2 linked regions of the Oreochromis niloticus genome follow. The protein of the gene in region 2 interacts with the protein of the main gene of each other region in a pairwise test. Links are inferred from orthologs where the notes say so. Each region holds a gene or a part of one and is shown on either strand. Other genes may lie near its edges. The genes, in order: cby1 and cibar1.

Region 1 (8,204 bases), on a different chromosome or scaffold from region 2:
CTGGAAATGAGCCTCTTCTCTCCAAAAACAACACTGGAGCACGCCTCAATCTGCAAAGTTGTAGCTAAACAAGCCACAAGACCTCTGGAACAATGACCTTTGGACAGACGAGATCAGCGTGGAGATATCTGACCATTGTGTGCAGCGTTACATTTGCTGAAAACCAAACACAGCATATCAGCACAAACACCTCATACCAACTGTCAACACTGCGGTGGCGGGGTGATGATCTGAGACCTTTGTGGTCACCGAGTCAAGCAGGAACTTCTCTGTATGCCAAAGTATTCTAGAGTCAAACGTGAGGACATCTGTCCGATAGCTAAAGCTTGACTCAAAATGGTTCATGCAACATGTCAACAATCCCATGCACAGCAACAAATCTACAACAGAATGGCTAAAAAAAGGAAAAAATGAAAGTTCATAGACCCAGGCAAAGTGACTGAAGGCTGTGGCGGGACCTCAGGAGAGCTGTGCATTAATGAACGCCCACAAACCTCAATACACTGAAGAACCTTGTAAAGAACAGTGCGTTGAAGTTCCTTCACAGTGATGTGAGAGTCTGTTAAAGTCATAAAGAAAACAATTATTTCAGGTTATTGCTGCTAAAGGTGCTTCTACAAGTAGTTTTTCACAGCACTTCATGCTATGCTGTGAAAACTTTATTTTCATGTGACTGTATGACTTTTGTTAAAGATATCAATATCACGCTCATGAATAACAAGTACCAGAAGTGTTATCACCATTCCTCTTCTGATTGCGTGTATTATAATAATTTCAAGTTTCAACTTGTCATACTACTTTTATGATAACACCAGGTAGAAATACTCTATACTACTCTGTATTCTATACATGAAAAGGAAATCCAACTCCTGCACTAGAAGTGCTACTGCCTCTTCTGCTGGTGGTGTTATTAACAATAAAAGCCAGATGTCTCTGAATATTTCCACCACTGAGACCGCTCAGCATCTCTTCTTGTTCTCATGGCGCTGACCTGCAGTGCATGATGAATCCTCAGTACTGTCAGAGGGGAAGCAGCTTAGGAAGGCCACAGGGGGTGCACGTCACCTCTGCTGACCCCATTGTATTTCATCTCTTTGTTTCAATATAGTGAGGTGATATCCTTGGCCTGCTGCTCTCTAAATATAGTGCTTTAAAACCACTTATGTCCTGATAGCACTGGAGTCCACAAGAGGATTTTTTTATGGCCTGGTCCACGTGACAAATCTTTAGCCACAAAATTTCTCTGTCTCCTCTAACTCTACAGTGAGGGGAGTGTAGCTCTGTTTGAGCGTGTGCACAAACACACGCTGGATTCAGTGTTTTCTTATTACTGCCTAAGCTGCATGCTTTGCAGGAGAATTGTGTCGAGTAGGAAATGTTCATTGGGGATTTGGGTTAATTCCTGGATGTCAGTGTTCATATTTTCCCTTGTGGATTAAGGATAAGAAGTTCACCTCACCTCGGAGCTTTTGCAAGAAAGAAGTGAAGTCTGTTCTTTGAAAATCCCTCTTCTTCTGCAAATCGATCTTTTTTTCCAAAGTTACTCGAGACACATTGGTTATTTGAGTATATTTATGCATATAAGTGTGCAGTTGTGCAGCTTTTATAGTGTATGCGATGTAGTGGGAGTGTGTGTACCAGGGTAGCTGCTGAACGACATCTTTCCAGTGGCTACGTGTGTGTCAGACACCTTGAAGTCCCAGTGTTTATAGATCCGCATGGTGGCTGCATAAGTATACCAGCTAGAGTGGCCGACTAGCAGGTTCTCAAAGCCTGGAAGAACCTGAGACACAGAGAAGAGAGAGAAAGAGAAACATCTATATTTTTTAAAAGAAACAACATACCATCACTGAATCATAAAAGAAAGAGTTTAACTTTATTAAGACACATTAAAGGGGTCTTAATAAAAATCCAGTAACACACATCCATTTGAACTTTGTCTTTGTTCCATAGATTGGTGTACGTGGAAGAGGAAATAAGCCCCTTGCAATGGCCTTTTACACTCATTTAAAAGAAGAAAACCCTGCTCACAGAGGCCAATAAAAGCAGTTAGGTTTGTGTTGAGGTTTTCCCAAGGGCTCCCTCACTTGAGCCAAATGAGCTTGGCCTAACCTTTATGAGAGCTGTGCAGTGGCCCATTCCAGGCATCCTGAAAGCGCCGGACCCTGCGGAGGAGTTGGAGCGAGGTGTCAGAGCTGGGACAAGATCCAAGAGGTCACCGACACCATTTAGAAACTGGACCGTGAACGCTGATAGAGGCTGCGCAGGAGGGAAAGAGCAAGTGGCAAGAGATCCATGAAATGACTGTGACAACTCTCTCACAACCACAAACACACACATACACACCTCCCTGTGTTTGCTTTTGGCCCACAGTGCAGCTCCTGCGTGGAGTCCATCCAGCTGAGCCAGGATCAGTCCCATATGCCTCCACAAGGGGTCACTGTTTCTCCTGAGCTTCACCTGCTCTCTGGCCCACTGGTCTTGTTTGCTGGGGTTAATTCAAATGGTGCAGTTTTACATCACTCTAACAATCAATAGGTGCATAAATATAATTTGTAAATTCTGTATAGACAGTTGATAGTTATGAGGCACTATCATAGAATGTATATAAAAGATGGACGTATATGTCCGCTGCCTAAATGAGTCTTGTAAAGCCTTCAACTAAACTTTGCGATCTTTGGTGTTTTGCTGTCTTGAACCCAGGTGTGACGGGTAAGGTGTGAATATGACAGAGAACTGATGCATACCACTGCATGCTTTAAATTTACACAGCTGTGAAGAAGTATTTGACTTTCATAACAATGACCACATCACCAGAATTTATCCAGTAAGACTTAAGACTGAGCCTATAAACTTAGTGTTTCCTGAGGTCACAGATTAAGTGAGCATTAAGATAATTTCCCTAAACTTCTACACAGTCTTTTTGCCAACAGGAGAGTCACCTCCTGCAGGCTATTAAAAGCAGAGAAGGGTTGAATCACTTACCTTACAGACTGACTTTTGAAACCTTGAAGCTACACCCATCTTTTATATACACTCTGTGCACAATACTGGTTAACCCAGCCTCTGAAAAAGCATCTTGAAGGCAATGGAAAACAAAGAGAAACCCCTATAAATCCAGTATTAGACATGGGATTACTCTTAGTTTAATCCATGGCTTTGATTTTATATAATTTAACACTGTACCTCAAAAAGTTTTTCAAGGGCTCCAGAACCTTTTCATCCTTGATCAGCTGAGGGTACATGTTGGAGTAATGACTGAACATCTGTCTGCAACGGAAGGAGAACAAGCAGTGAGGGATTAGCCCACATAAAAGTATTCTGCATGTTACAGGCAGAGCTAGCAGCTACACCTAATAAGAAATGTAATCAAACTGTAACGAACTGAAGTTGACCTGTATCTGCATTATGTGTTGGACTGAATTGCTGCCACATGATTGGCTCACTGGAAAATTGCATGAAAAGTGCTCATTGAGTGTATTTTCATGCTTGCACTTTGCCTGTGCCGCTCACCCAGCAGTGAGGTAACCTTCCAGGTAGCCAGCCAAGAAGAAGGTGGTCTCATCTTCCTGAGTGACTTCTCCATAGCCTGCATTGATCTCCAGGACGCCCCATCCTGAGAGGAGCAGAGTGTCATTGAAGTACCCATACGCTCCCCCCTCGGTCTCCATCAACCCCTCCTTCAGGATCACACTTTTCTGGGCAGCATCCCAGTGCACAGTGGCCTCTTGGAGTTCTACCATTGTAGGAGGATGGGTTACATGCTTGAAGTTAGATAACACACATTATGTAAGATAATGTCATGACACAGATAGAATAATTACAACAAAAGCTACATTTTTCGGTGCTTTCTCATGTGCTACTATTTTCTGTCAAATGAATACTCATTGTATATTAATATTATAAGGACGCTAACACAATGTTGTGTTAGTGTCCTTGCTCGAATCAATACACAAGCATATTTTTTAAACTTACATTTGTTGACATAAGTGTTACAAAAACATTTTAAAAAGAAAAGATGTGCTTAAATGCATTTAAATGGTTATGGTATTTCGAGTTGCATGTTCAAATCATGTTAAATTTTAAAACTGTAAAATTTAGACCGGAGAGAACAAAGTAACGGTCCATTAAAGAAGTGCTGTAAAGCGGTAAAGATACTTACTTTGTGTTTAGCGGAGTTATAGGGATATAAAATTGGTTCCCGCCGTGTACAGACACGCCACAGTAAGGTTACTCACGGTAAGTTTGGAGCTTCACGTTCGCTCTTCTGAATTCATCCGTGGATTTTACGGATGCAGCTAAAGTGCTCAGCAGTACGCAGAGTGCCATTCTGCGCTTATCCATGTCAGCCGAGGAAGTCCCGTGTTCTGCTTGCCTCTCGCCTAGTTAGGCACACATATTCTTCAAACGTATTAAGATTGATCTGTGAAGATTTTCTTCCACAGACAACGAAGCACTTAAATGACTTCTTTGAAGGCTAAGGTTATCTTATGCGATAGCGAAAAGGAGAACACCCCAGATGGGACTCGAACCCACAATCCCTGGCTTAGGAGGCCAGTGCCTTATCCATTAGGCCACTGGGGCGGCGTATACAGTGGGGCGGGGTCACTGTTTTTCAACTCCACGCGTGACCTACTGAAATAGTGTTTGTTTTATCTGTACTTTTTTTTACATTACCATTATCTGCATTGTGTTGTTCATAATAGTCAATTTAATGTATGGAGTTATTTTTTTTAATTATTTGAGCTTATCCGAATAAAATATTAAAGCGTCGTACCGCAAAGACGGTAAAAGATCACCATGGTGATGCTCCGTTACACGGGTTGTTCCATTATCATTCAGAAACAGGAAGATCTTATTAAACTATGAATACGATGCCCCACAAAAAGCTGTAAAACGGTGGATTAAATTTTAGTTTCTTTAAAGGTATTATGGTGGACAATTTTTTCCCGAATAGTTTGTGCGAAAGTCGTGTAATGTTTCAGGATTGCCTACTTTGGACAAATGGAAAATTCGCACTTGCGCAGTGGCAAGCATGTTCTGAGAGAAACGGATACAGGTCACCACTTTAAGAACTTAAATAAATACTCTGTATGGAGGTAAATATGTTAGTTGTATATTTAAATTGAAACAGCATTAGCTGAATAATCTGAAAGTCAGGGGATAATTTCATTAAATTGTGAGATATGAGTGATTCAAACAGCTAGCCGCCTAGCATTAATTTGGTCGTGCAGCGCTAGCGACGGTAAACACAGTGAGAAGCTAGGCGAAGCTAGCTTTATCTTAAAATTTGTAATTCCCACTCGCCGTCTCTGATACAGGACCTTAAAAGATCACTGAGGATGCCTCTGTTTGGAAACACATTTAGTCCTAAAAAGATTCCTCCACGTAAATCCGCCTCCTTGTCCAGCCTCCACACGGTGAGTTAATGAATTTTACCATCATTCACACACTGGAAACACTAGTTATAGAGCACGTTTAGGGTGGTTAATCTGCATAACATCCTGAGAGATAGCATTCACCGTAATTTATACCTTTTTATCTTTTTTAGTTGGATCGTTCAACTCGAGAAATAGAGCTGGGCCTTGAGTATGGACCTCCTGTGATGAACATTGGAGGTCAGGTCTTGAAATTTGAAGAGGGACAGTGGATTACAGGTAATGGGTTTTCTGAATAATTACCTTTTAGTCCTGTGTGTTTGTGTGTGTGTGTGTTTTTTATCAACGTCTGCCTCCCTGTGGCCAACACAGCATAAACTCTGTTTTTTTTCTCCTTTGTGAAACCAGAATCTGGTGGAAATGTGTCTAATAGGGAAGTTCAGCGGCTTAAGAAAAGAAATATCCAGCTGGAGGAGGAAAATAACGTATTAAAACTAAAGATTGAACTTCTCCTGGATATGGTAAGACCAAATGTAATTACATTGTGAGTAACATTAAGGATGCAATATGAGGCTCTGAGGTAGGAAAGTTTTTTTTGCCTCCTCTGCAAAGCTGTTATAACTGCATAATACTGCTTTTTGTAGGCTGCAAATTATATTTAAGTTATATATGTAATTACCAGTTCATTCAATTATATAACCCGGTTTGTCGCAAAATAGGTCCCAGTCTGTTTCAATGTTTCCTACACATACACCATGTATATAGTTCCACTCACACATGTATATATATACACTGCTTTTTATTTTATTTTATTCTATTTATTTATTTATTTATTTTCCACCTTCGATGTATATTGGTTTCTCTTTTTCTTACTTTAGCACCTTTGTGGTCCAGCTACCCAATTTCGCTGTGCAAGAAACTGCACAATGACAATAAAAAGCTCTAAGTCTAAGTCTCTAAGTCTCTAAATAGTAATCTTTAATCTTTTCCTTCAAGTTGACCGAGACTACGGTAGAGTATCACCTGATGGAGAAAGAAGTGGAAGAAGTCAAGACTCAACATCGAAGGAAAAAGTGACAGATCTGATCTAGTGCCTCCATTGAATAAAGTGTTTTCTTCCAAGGAAAATTTTTTTGTATCTATAGATAACAGGACAAAAGTAAAAATATCATCCATTTTCCTCACAATGAGGATTCTTGTGTTACATCTCACTCTTTATTTTCCATTTACTGTATGTGTTCTGTTTTTAATTTGTTGAGTTATTCCACCTTAAAAACCTTCTTTGGTCAATACACAGCCTATTTTCTATGCTTTGTACATTTGTATGTGATGTAAAACCTGCTTTTTAATTTTAATTTTTTCTATTTTCTTTTTGGATTAAAAGTAAACTATTGACAAAAGGCATTTCTTTCTTTTTGTTTGATTTTTGGTTTTTAGAAAATAACATTTGTGAATTGTTGGATTCATAGAAGCTCTAAAAATATACAGTAACACATTACAAAGAAAAAAATAAGAAAAGTAAGGCTTCATTCACTATTTTGGCTTTTCATTCAGCTCCACATAGTATAAGAGCAATAATCTCATATACAGTATGCCTTCCATATAGTTACTGAGTAACTTTTGTCACTGTAACTTTTGTGTGGTCAGAATTATTTACAGCTTTAATACATAGCATACAGGGCTTCTCTTTTTGTACATTGTTTTCTTTTATTTAGCTCACAAACAGAATAAAAACATGCTTTTGAAACAGGCTCAAACCCATGAAAGGAAAAGGGAAACTGAAGGCATTACATTTAATTCTTTTATTAGTTTTAGTAGTGCATAAACCTGCACAAACTCTGAGGCTGTATCTGTCTTCAATTTCAGCATCTCCTTCCCGACCGACCAATAAAGCTTGATTTATTTGTGAATTATGCTATGTTGTTCAGTCAGTCATAGGAGTTTATTCAGCACTGTCTAAAGGTTTTGTTTACTACAGTCATAGGTAGAGAAAATAAAGACAACAATGCCAAAACTTTCAGTTTATCTACCAAAATGCATTTCTAAAAACTTGGATTCAAATAACCAAATACATAATTATTATTTTATTTATTTATCCATTATTATATTATTAAACAGAAAAGCGTTACATGCAACTTTTATGAATGATGTAACTCTCTTTATCCAATTGGTCAATCCCACGTTTCAATCACGCACAGTGCGGCTCATAGTCCCAACTGCGCATGCGTACGTCTCCGCGAGCGAAAGAGGCGTCTGCCAATAGCGGGAGAGACGAAGTACTTTTTATTCTTTTCATCTAGCACTTTAAATCACCGGCGTTTCGAGTGAACTGTTGTATTATTCTTTGACGTTGTGGTGGACTTTTATAGACCTTACCTATAACAATGCCTCGTGGTGGTAAGTATTAAAACGAAAATTCACATAATGTGCCTCTTTTTGCGAGTACATTTTAGCTAGCGGATCATTAGCCCTTTGAATTCACACATGCTTAGCATGTTTAGCATGCTACATAGTTAGCATAATGTAATTTGCCGGTAAGAACGGTTTATTAAAGGCATCGGAAACGTACCGATATCCAATTATTTATTTGTTTTCACGTGAGCTCAGATGACGACTTGGTGTTAACTTAAACCTGAATAGTATTTGATTTTTTGTTTTGCTTTTGGTTGCTTGCTTTCAACCGCTAATACCATGCGCAGAGAAGACCGCATCCGGGTCATTTTACATACATAATCAGTTATAGAAATTTCTATTTGGACGTTGTCTTCGTACAAGTTTACTGTCACAAATATATGATCAAACTATTCGGGCTTTTTTTGTCGGTAC
Region 2 (7,850 bases):
ATAAAACTCAACACAAAACATACTGGACTAAAATAAGTCAGGTGCTGTGTCCAACTGGTTTGAGCTCTTGTAAAGAATTTACACTGTGCTTGCGAGTTTGTTTCTAAGTTTAATTCTGGAATGTTTTTTATATTTCTACTCATACATTACCACTGATGAAAACACATATTACACGGGACGCACCTGAGACTGAAAGCTCAGTCAAGGAAACTTAAGAAATATAAGCTTGTCTGTTCATTCTAATTCTGCAGGTGGCTCCTGTACAGCACTTGTTACCACATCACAGGAATTTGCCATTTGCAGGTAAAACTCTCCAAAGTTGACACGACAAACATTTCAAACAGCTCCAAGCTGATGTCTATAACTAACGAAGAATTGAATTGATATTAGCAGGCATCCATTTGATTATACATACAGATGGCTGTTGTAACACTGAAGCCTTTTTGTCAATCTGGTATCAGAGAGAGATTTAAAGAACTGAAGAGAAACAAGTCAAGGATACAATGATCTGCCTGTCTGAGGGGTTTCTCTGCCTGGTCCTCTCGAGCTGAGCCATCTGTTTGGCTTCTCTGTCTCTGGCACTCTGAGTAGTCTTCAGATCCTCCTGCACAGATACACAAATACGCAGAAGTTATCAAAATAATTAATAATGGTAGCGTGTAATGCACAATTTGCTAAACATGACTTAACATATAGGAATTTGGTGTGAATCAGTGAGGATCAGGATCTCCAGTAGATCCTGTTGTGCAAGTTTTTGGTTTATCTTCAACTGTACTGTCAACCATAGCTTTTTAATTGCTCTGTGACTTTAGTCGTTGAATATATTGAAGGAAAGGGCACATTTTTAAAAAAATTAAAATGAATGAATGCATGCAAGAGCAGAATACAAGTAAACACACACACACACACACACACACACACACACACACACAAAGACTAAAAGCCAAACAAGGCAAACATTTACTTAAGTCAATTTGGACAGTAGTGTCCAAATTGTCTGTGAAGTACCACAGGATGTCCTCTTGATATACTTTAAAAAAATAGTGGTTAGCAGAGTGCTGGCAATGGGTCAAAGTGGCTTGAAGAGGTAGCGATATGTTATCATTAAGACAATACTGCCCTCATGTGCCTTTGCCATAGTAATGACACCAACAGCAAATTGATCTGCGTCCCTCACTGCCCCCTAGGCTCCTTTATCCAGGCTTACTTGTTGTTCCTAGAGTATTTAAAAGTAGAATGGGAGGGAGAGCCTTCAGTTTTCAGGCCCCTCTTCTGTAGAACCAGCTTCCCATTTGGATTCGGGAGACAGACACTATCTCTCTTTTAAGATTAGGCTTAAAACTTTCCTTTTTGCTAAAGCATATAGTTAGGGCTGGACCAGGTGACCCTGAATCCTCCCTTAGTAATGCTGCAATAGACGTAGGTTGCCGGGGGATTCCCATGATGCATTGAGTTTTTCCTTTCCAGTCACCTTTCTCACTCACTATGTGTTAATAGATCTCTCTGCATTGAATCATACCTGTTATTAATCTCTGTCTCTCTTCCACAGCATGTCTTTATCCTGCCTCCTTCTCTCACCCCAACCGGTCGCAGCAGATGGCCCCGCCCCTCCCTGAGCCTGGTTCTGCTGGAGGTTTCTTCTTGTTAAAAGGGAGTTTTTCCTTCCCACTGTCGCCAAAGTGCTTGCTCATAGGGGGTCATATGATTGTTGGGTTTTTCTCTGTATCTATTATTGTAGGATCTACTGTACAATATAAAGCACCTTGAGGCAACTGTTGTTGTGATTTGGCGCTATATAAAATTGAATCGAATTATTCATTTAGCGACACTATTGCTAAATTTGACAAATTTACTTATGAATTTGTGTGTAAAACTTTGGATTTTAACATGCAAATATGTGACAGAAAAAGTCACAAAAAGGCACTGAAAAAATTCACTAAAATCCCCGTTGGCCCTGTGACAACCTGGTTACCTGTCCAGCTTGTACCCCAAATCCTGCTTTATGACAGCTGGGATAGGCTCCAGCCCACCTGACTGGATGGATGTGTGGTTCAAATCAGTGTCAACATGACAGCAGGCTGCAGTAAAACTTACCCTTTTCCGTTTCACTACAGCTCCATAGCTTTTTAATGGCTCTATGATTTTAGATTCAAGTCGTTCCACCTGCAAGACCAGCTCTGCATTAGTTTCTCTTCTACCCATTATTTAAATTATGGATATGAACATGAAATAATGATTGAAGGTAAGGATTCAAGGAGGTCCACCTGAGCTTGACGATAATCTTGAATCTTGGCCAGATGGTCGGCATACTGCTTCATCCCCCTCTTAAGGCTTGGTGTTTCGGTGTCTGCATACAAGCCAATTTCCTGGACCAGAAGGTCTGCCTTGTCTCGTACCTTGGCTGTCTTACGGACATAGGCAGCAAAGAGTTGGCACATCTGTCCAAAATGTTTCTCCACATTGGTGATGTTCTCTTGGATCCTCCTTGTCTGGTTATCCCTGGAAAGGATAAAGGAGAACATCAACAGCAGTAATCAAACATAATTTTATAAAGGGTTTCATATATTTGAGTAGGGAAAACGATAAACGTCTATTTTGCACAAGGCCTGTGAAAATTACTTTTTGCTGTTTCATCTAAATGCAAGTAGCAATCCATAAAAACATCCTGTAAATGCGATGCATCCTTGCTTGTTATCCTTCGCTCCATTACTCTTGGTTATACGGTCACTCAACCAGCTACATGCAATAAAACAGCTAAACTAGTAAATGCGCTGTTTTAGTATTATAAACACATCCCCGTTTAGTGAATAGTGACTCTATAGCTATATAGCATCACTAACTATGACTTAACCGACGAACAAATAACTCGTTATGAGTGCAGTTTATCAATGAGAAGCGTGACGACACAGGTTAACTAGTTAACTGCTAGCCTACCTTTATGCATACACAGTATGTCCGTTTATTTTTTTGCTAACGTTAACTCTCCCCACCAAATAACACGGGATGTGTTTTGGCGGGTGGGATCTTTCTTACCTCGCTCTCGCGTCAGGCGTACGGCTCATCATTGCAAGCACACAGTGTGAAATATGTTCGAATAGATCCGCGTTGACAGAATCTCTGATTTTACGTTAGCTAGCTATCTATGAACGCTCTTTTCTATCAGGCAAGCACGCCAGCTGGCCGTTTCCATGGAGTCCCTGGAGCGTTTCCGCTTTAGGAGTGCAAAAAGGAATCCTGGGAGATGGAGTCGTTATAGCTGTAAGCTCTCCATCTTTGTCTCTCTTTTTTATTTCTGTCCTTTTCTTTGAAGTCACTGAAAAAGTTGCTTTTTCTTTACAGCTACAGCTTCTTAAGATGACGGAAGATGGACAGGTATGCAATAATGTCTAATGTAATTATCTACTCTATCTATCACAGGGATGACCTATAGATAGATAGACAGACAAACAGACAAACAGAGGCAACACTGTTAAAAGTACCGCAGACCCACACGATTATAATGTGAGATGGCGCAAAATTTTATATACAAAACTGATAAAATGATGAAAAAAAGTTAATGAAAAATAATATTGTACAAATTTTTTTTTTTAGTAAACAGTAGTGCAAATAACATTAACAAATTACACTATTACACTAGGTTAAGAAACAACAGCACAAAGGAATAACACGGAAATGTGTGCTGCATCCTGACATGTGTGTTCGCCTGTCATAAAAAAGGGAGTTGATGTAGGGTTTTATAAAGAACAGTAGGAAAGGATTTCCTTAAGTGTTCTCAGTGTCAGTCTTTTTTGAACCAGATATCAAAGGGTATTTATTTATTTATTTATTTATTATAATGCACCTTTCTTACACAGCCTAAATTCTGCTGTCTCTGAATCATAAGGTTTGAATGCTTCAAGACTGTATAATGCATATCTGTATAATGCAGTGTCTAACTGAGACAAATGCCTCTTATTAAAACAACAATGATGCATTTTTGTATGAATACCTTGTCATCATAACCATGAAATTTTTAAATATCCATCTGTTTCACTTTAGGATTTCTAACATAGTTTTGATGAACTTGAAAACCTAATGTTTGTGCATGCTTGGTAATTTGTTCCCCGCTTTCTCCTACAGCAACATGGGCTGGTACTAACAAAAAGCAGCTTTTTAATCTCATTAATATATGTAATATTGTGCTGTACTATTACAAATATTAATAGTATTGCAATAATAGTATTTCTTTTCTTTGTGTTAACAGTGCCAAATTCCTTCCTCTAAAATCCAAATATTTGGCTGCTCTCCATCGGTTTCCCAAATAGATTAAGGTACATTGCAACAAAAAGGGCCACAAATAGTCATTTTCAACAACAGCTTGACTATTTTTGAACTGGTGCCAAGAGCAGACTTTGTGATCACTGAAATGAATGGAGGCCTCATTGTAATTCCCTCCTCTGTGTTTGGGAATGCATGAATGTCACCAGCTGCCACGTCTGCTCCTCTGTGGAAAATGTCCAAAAACCTTAATTATCACGCTTAATCATCCATGGGATTGAAGCAGGGGAGATCCCACTGTAACAGATTGGAGATGTAAAACACGGTCATTGCATTGAGCTGTGTGCCTGGAATCCCAAGAGAACCCAGTTTATCCTCTCCAATACAGCTGATGTTGGTATAGATTAATTTTTTTTGTTAAATGCATCTCATAGAACCTTCTCATTCTAAGATTGATGGTTTCTAGCATCTGGATTTTTTTTTTTTATCGGTCTAATGAACATTTAAACCCATTTCTTTTCTGCAGTAAAAAGAAAAGCATTAGTATTGCTTTTATTCCCACATATAAGGATTATTTTTGATTGAACAGCATCAATCAATCATTTTCTATCCATTCCTGTAATTCCAACTGTTGTGTGTGAGAGTGATTAGTGTGAATCAGTGTGATTGTTACTGGGTGTGTGGATGTGGACATTAAGGGGAGCTGGGGAGTTTTTTGGCTTGTTCAGCAATAATCTTTTTAATTCCATTGGAAGAAAAATTGTGACTCACTAGGATTTATTTCTCATATAATGTGGTCTGAATGTCATGTAAGGTCACAGTCATCAATAAACACAACCAGGTTAAACCACACATAGACAACTGTACCTTTTCTGTACACTGTTTTGGGTATGAAGATGAGATTGGAAAAGCTGCACTCAATCAACTCAGCAAAATTCCTAGGATGTCAGATGAAGTAGAAATTCTGGACTGCTGTTATTCTCCCACATCATGCATGTCGTCAAGATTGCGTCATGTAAAAAGAACCAGAGATTAAAAGGAAACACCTTCAGAAATACCAGTAACGTGCTAAAATCTCTATTTAAATATTTAGCCAAAATTGCAAAGCAGCATTAAAATCTGAGTGATAGTGGAAGGAGCACTATGATTTGGATCAGGGTCTGAACAAAAAATTCAAAACTGTGTCAAGAAGTCCTTGAAAGGGCAGCTGATGCACTGCTGTGACCTAAAGAAGACTGTTCAGTTCAGACTTGATTGTAGGATTAATTCCTGTACAAGTCTATAAACTGCTAATTGCTGCTGCAAAAGGAGGATCTGGACTTCTTAATTTGAAGAGGTATTTATTTTCACCATGAGCACTGTGTGAAACAAAGGCATAAAAAGTATAGGTGATTATTTCATCAGCTTAAGCTTGATTTAGACTTCTGGGGGAAAACATGTCTGAACTTACGTCGTAACCAGAAACTCCTTTTACGCCCACACTACAACCTTCCACTTCATTCAAGTCACTCCGGCGTCGAGATGTGTAGTTACAGTTCTCAAAAGGTGCACATCAGGTTATGTAGAAGGTTATGGTGTAGGGTTAAAAGAAGTTTCAGTTAACGTCATACGTTAAGATGTAGATTTCTTGCTGAAGCATAATTCAAGCATTAGCCCATCACTATATTCAGATGAAAGTCACATCTCATTTTATGAATATTAATTCTGAAATGTTGGTAGTCTACATCTACGGCCACATTTTCTCTCTCTTTATTATTTGATAATTAAGTGGTACACGTAAAGCAGCATTTCTTCTCCTTCTTTTAAGTGTGATTGCATTATTCATCCACATGATGGCACCCCACTTCCATTTGTGCCTTTTCCTAGGATGTAAATGGCAATCGGCATGGTTACAGGTGGACTCTGAATTATTCCTTCTCCTTTCCTACTTCATACATAAAAAATATTCTGCAGACCTCTTCTCGATCCATCTCCACCATCATATATTTACATTATTCAGCACTCCCTGGCAGGAACCCAGGACTAGATTTAACATCCCTAAACATTATAACAAATATAACAGATGCCTGTCTAGCTGGTGTCCTACAGGATCCTTGTGTTGAAAGAAGCCTGGGGCTGTTGAGTTATTTGCCTTGGCTGCTTGTAAATGTATTCAGGAGTGGTGGCATATTTTTATATTGTGCATCTGACTTTCTTAAAGAACAGATGGTGTTGTTTCCAGACTACCAATTAGCACGGAAAGGGTGGCAACCACTAGCAGCAGCTCTCTCTGCCTCTTTCATGCTCTCTTCTCACTCTCTTGCTGTCTCCGTCCCCCTGTGCCCTCTTGTTCAGTCTTCAGCTCTTTCTGTTTTTCCCTCTGCCCAGCCTTTTCCCTCTGCAGCCCTCTGTGCCGCTGTGCCAGTACCCCACTAGAGAGATGTGTGGCCTGCTGAACAGATTGGGAGTGACATATGTCAGACGTGGGGGGACTTCGTAGGGCAACTAAGTATATATCCCCCAGTGTTTTTGTGCATGTGTGTGTGCATGTTCGCGCTTTCCCTTCAGGTGTGAGTCCTGGTGTGAAGACTGCAGACTCGAGGCTCTCCTCCCACACTGGAGGAAGACATACGGCTTTAGATTCCCCTTTAATAACAAGAAGGAGTCAGTGGGAGGCACGCGTGTGTGTTCAGGGACGCTGAGGATTATGAACAGTGTGATATCTTGTATGCCACTTGGTGCATAAAATGAAATTACAAGCCAAGAGTCAATAACTCATCATGCTGATTTTGGCTAACCTCTCTCTCCTTCCTCTAACTGCCACGTTCCTCCGATTTGGCAAAGGGACACCGCGCTGCTCTCTTGCAGAAATTAACTCTGAAATATCCAGTGGGAAATATAGTCATCCTTTCTCCATATACCTTGGTGTCAGTTATTTATTGTTTAACTTTGAGATAGTCCTTAAATTAAGAATTGATTTATTCTCCGATGCAATTAAAAGCTCCCTTTGAGTGAGTCTAAATTTTAAAAAAACAGACGTTCTATATTTATCAATATATGATTGCCTTGTTTGATTGAGATTTTGCATCTAACTAAACTTTATTACAGCAGAACCATAGCTTTGAATTAAAATCTAGTGACATAGTGACTGTAACACATCCCCTGTGCGCTTTGGTTTCCCTCAAACAAGATGTCGCAGATCTTTCTGCACACAATAGACTATGATCAACACTCTCTGCAATTTTCAGATATGAAATTCAGTGATACTCCCTTTAACTCCAGCAACCTTGAACAAAAGTCTCCCTCAGTAGTTAAGCGGGTGCTTGAAGGGCAAGCCAACGCAGACACGGTCCAGTGCTTTTATTGACCCAATGAAAAACCTCTCTGTGTCTCCAGGGGCTTGGAGCTCAGGTTAGGGTCTTTGTTGTCTGTGTTCATTAGTGTCTCCTTCGCCATCACTCTCTCGCTCTCTCCCCCTCTTTATCTCTCTCTTACTCTCTCTCCAAGCACCTCCTTTTCTAACTCCCTCACTCTGTCTCTGCTGCTCTTTTCCCCCTGAGGAGCTGGAGAAGAAAATGTCACCAGATCAAATTAGTGGGAGCCTCCAACACTGC

Evidence for each region.
Region 1: the proteins of cibar1 (region 2) and cby1 interact in binary tests that used the Homo sapiens proteins (3 or more experiments, as listed by UniProt). The two-hybrid records come from large-scale screens. The link is inferred for Oreochromis niloticus from reciprocal best matches to the Homo sapiens genes CIBAR1 and CBY1.

The regions. Positions count from the first base shown.
Region 1 is NC_031973.2:22,606,388-22,614,591, forward strand, and holds cby1 (protein chibby homolog 1), read left to right. Parts: upstream 1-4,960; 5' UTR 4,961-5,093; coding exon 5,094-5,099; intron 5,100-5,321; coding exon 5,322-5,420; intron 5,421-5,551; coding exon 5,552-5,657; intron 5,658-5,786; coding exon 5,787-5,899; intron 5,900-6,374; coding exon 6,375-6,455; 3' UTR 6,456-7,762; coding exon of another isoform or gene 7,763-7,775; 3' UTR 7,776-7,776; downstream 7,777-8,204. Other genes in the region: plbd1b (phospholipase B-like 1), read right to left, coding at 1,639-1,783, 2,113-2,259, 2,347-2,488, 3,187-3,270, 3,514-3,736, 4,239-4,344; pdap1a (pdgfa associated protein 1a), read left to right, coding at 7,763-7,775. UniProt on the Homo sapiens protein: Inhibits the Wnt/Wingless pathway by binding to CTNNB1/beta-catenin and inhibiting beta-catenin-mediated transcriptional activation through competition with TCF/LEF transcription factors.
Region 2 is NC_031985.2:21,571,278-21,579,127, forward strand, and holds the start of cibar1 (CBY1-interacting BAR domain-containing protein 1), read right to left. Parts: upstream 3,220-7,850; 5' UTR 3,066-3,219; coding exon 3,034-3,065; intron 2,500-3,033; coding exon 2,265-2,499; intron 2,164-2,264; coding exon 2,095-2,163; intron 605-2,094; coding exon 503-604; intron 190-502; coding exon 184-189; intron 1-183. UniProt on the Homo sapiens protein: Plays a critical role in regulating mitochondrial ultrastructure and function by maintaining the integrity of mitochondrial morphology, particularly the organization of cristae.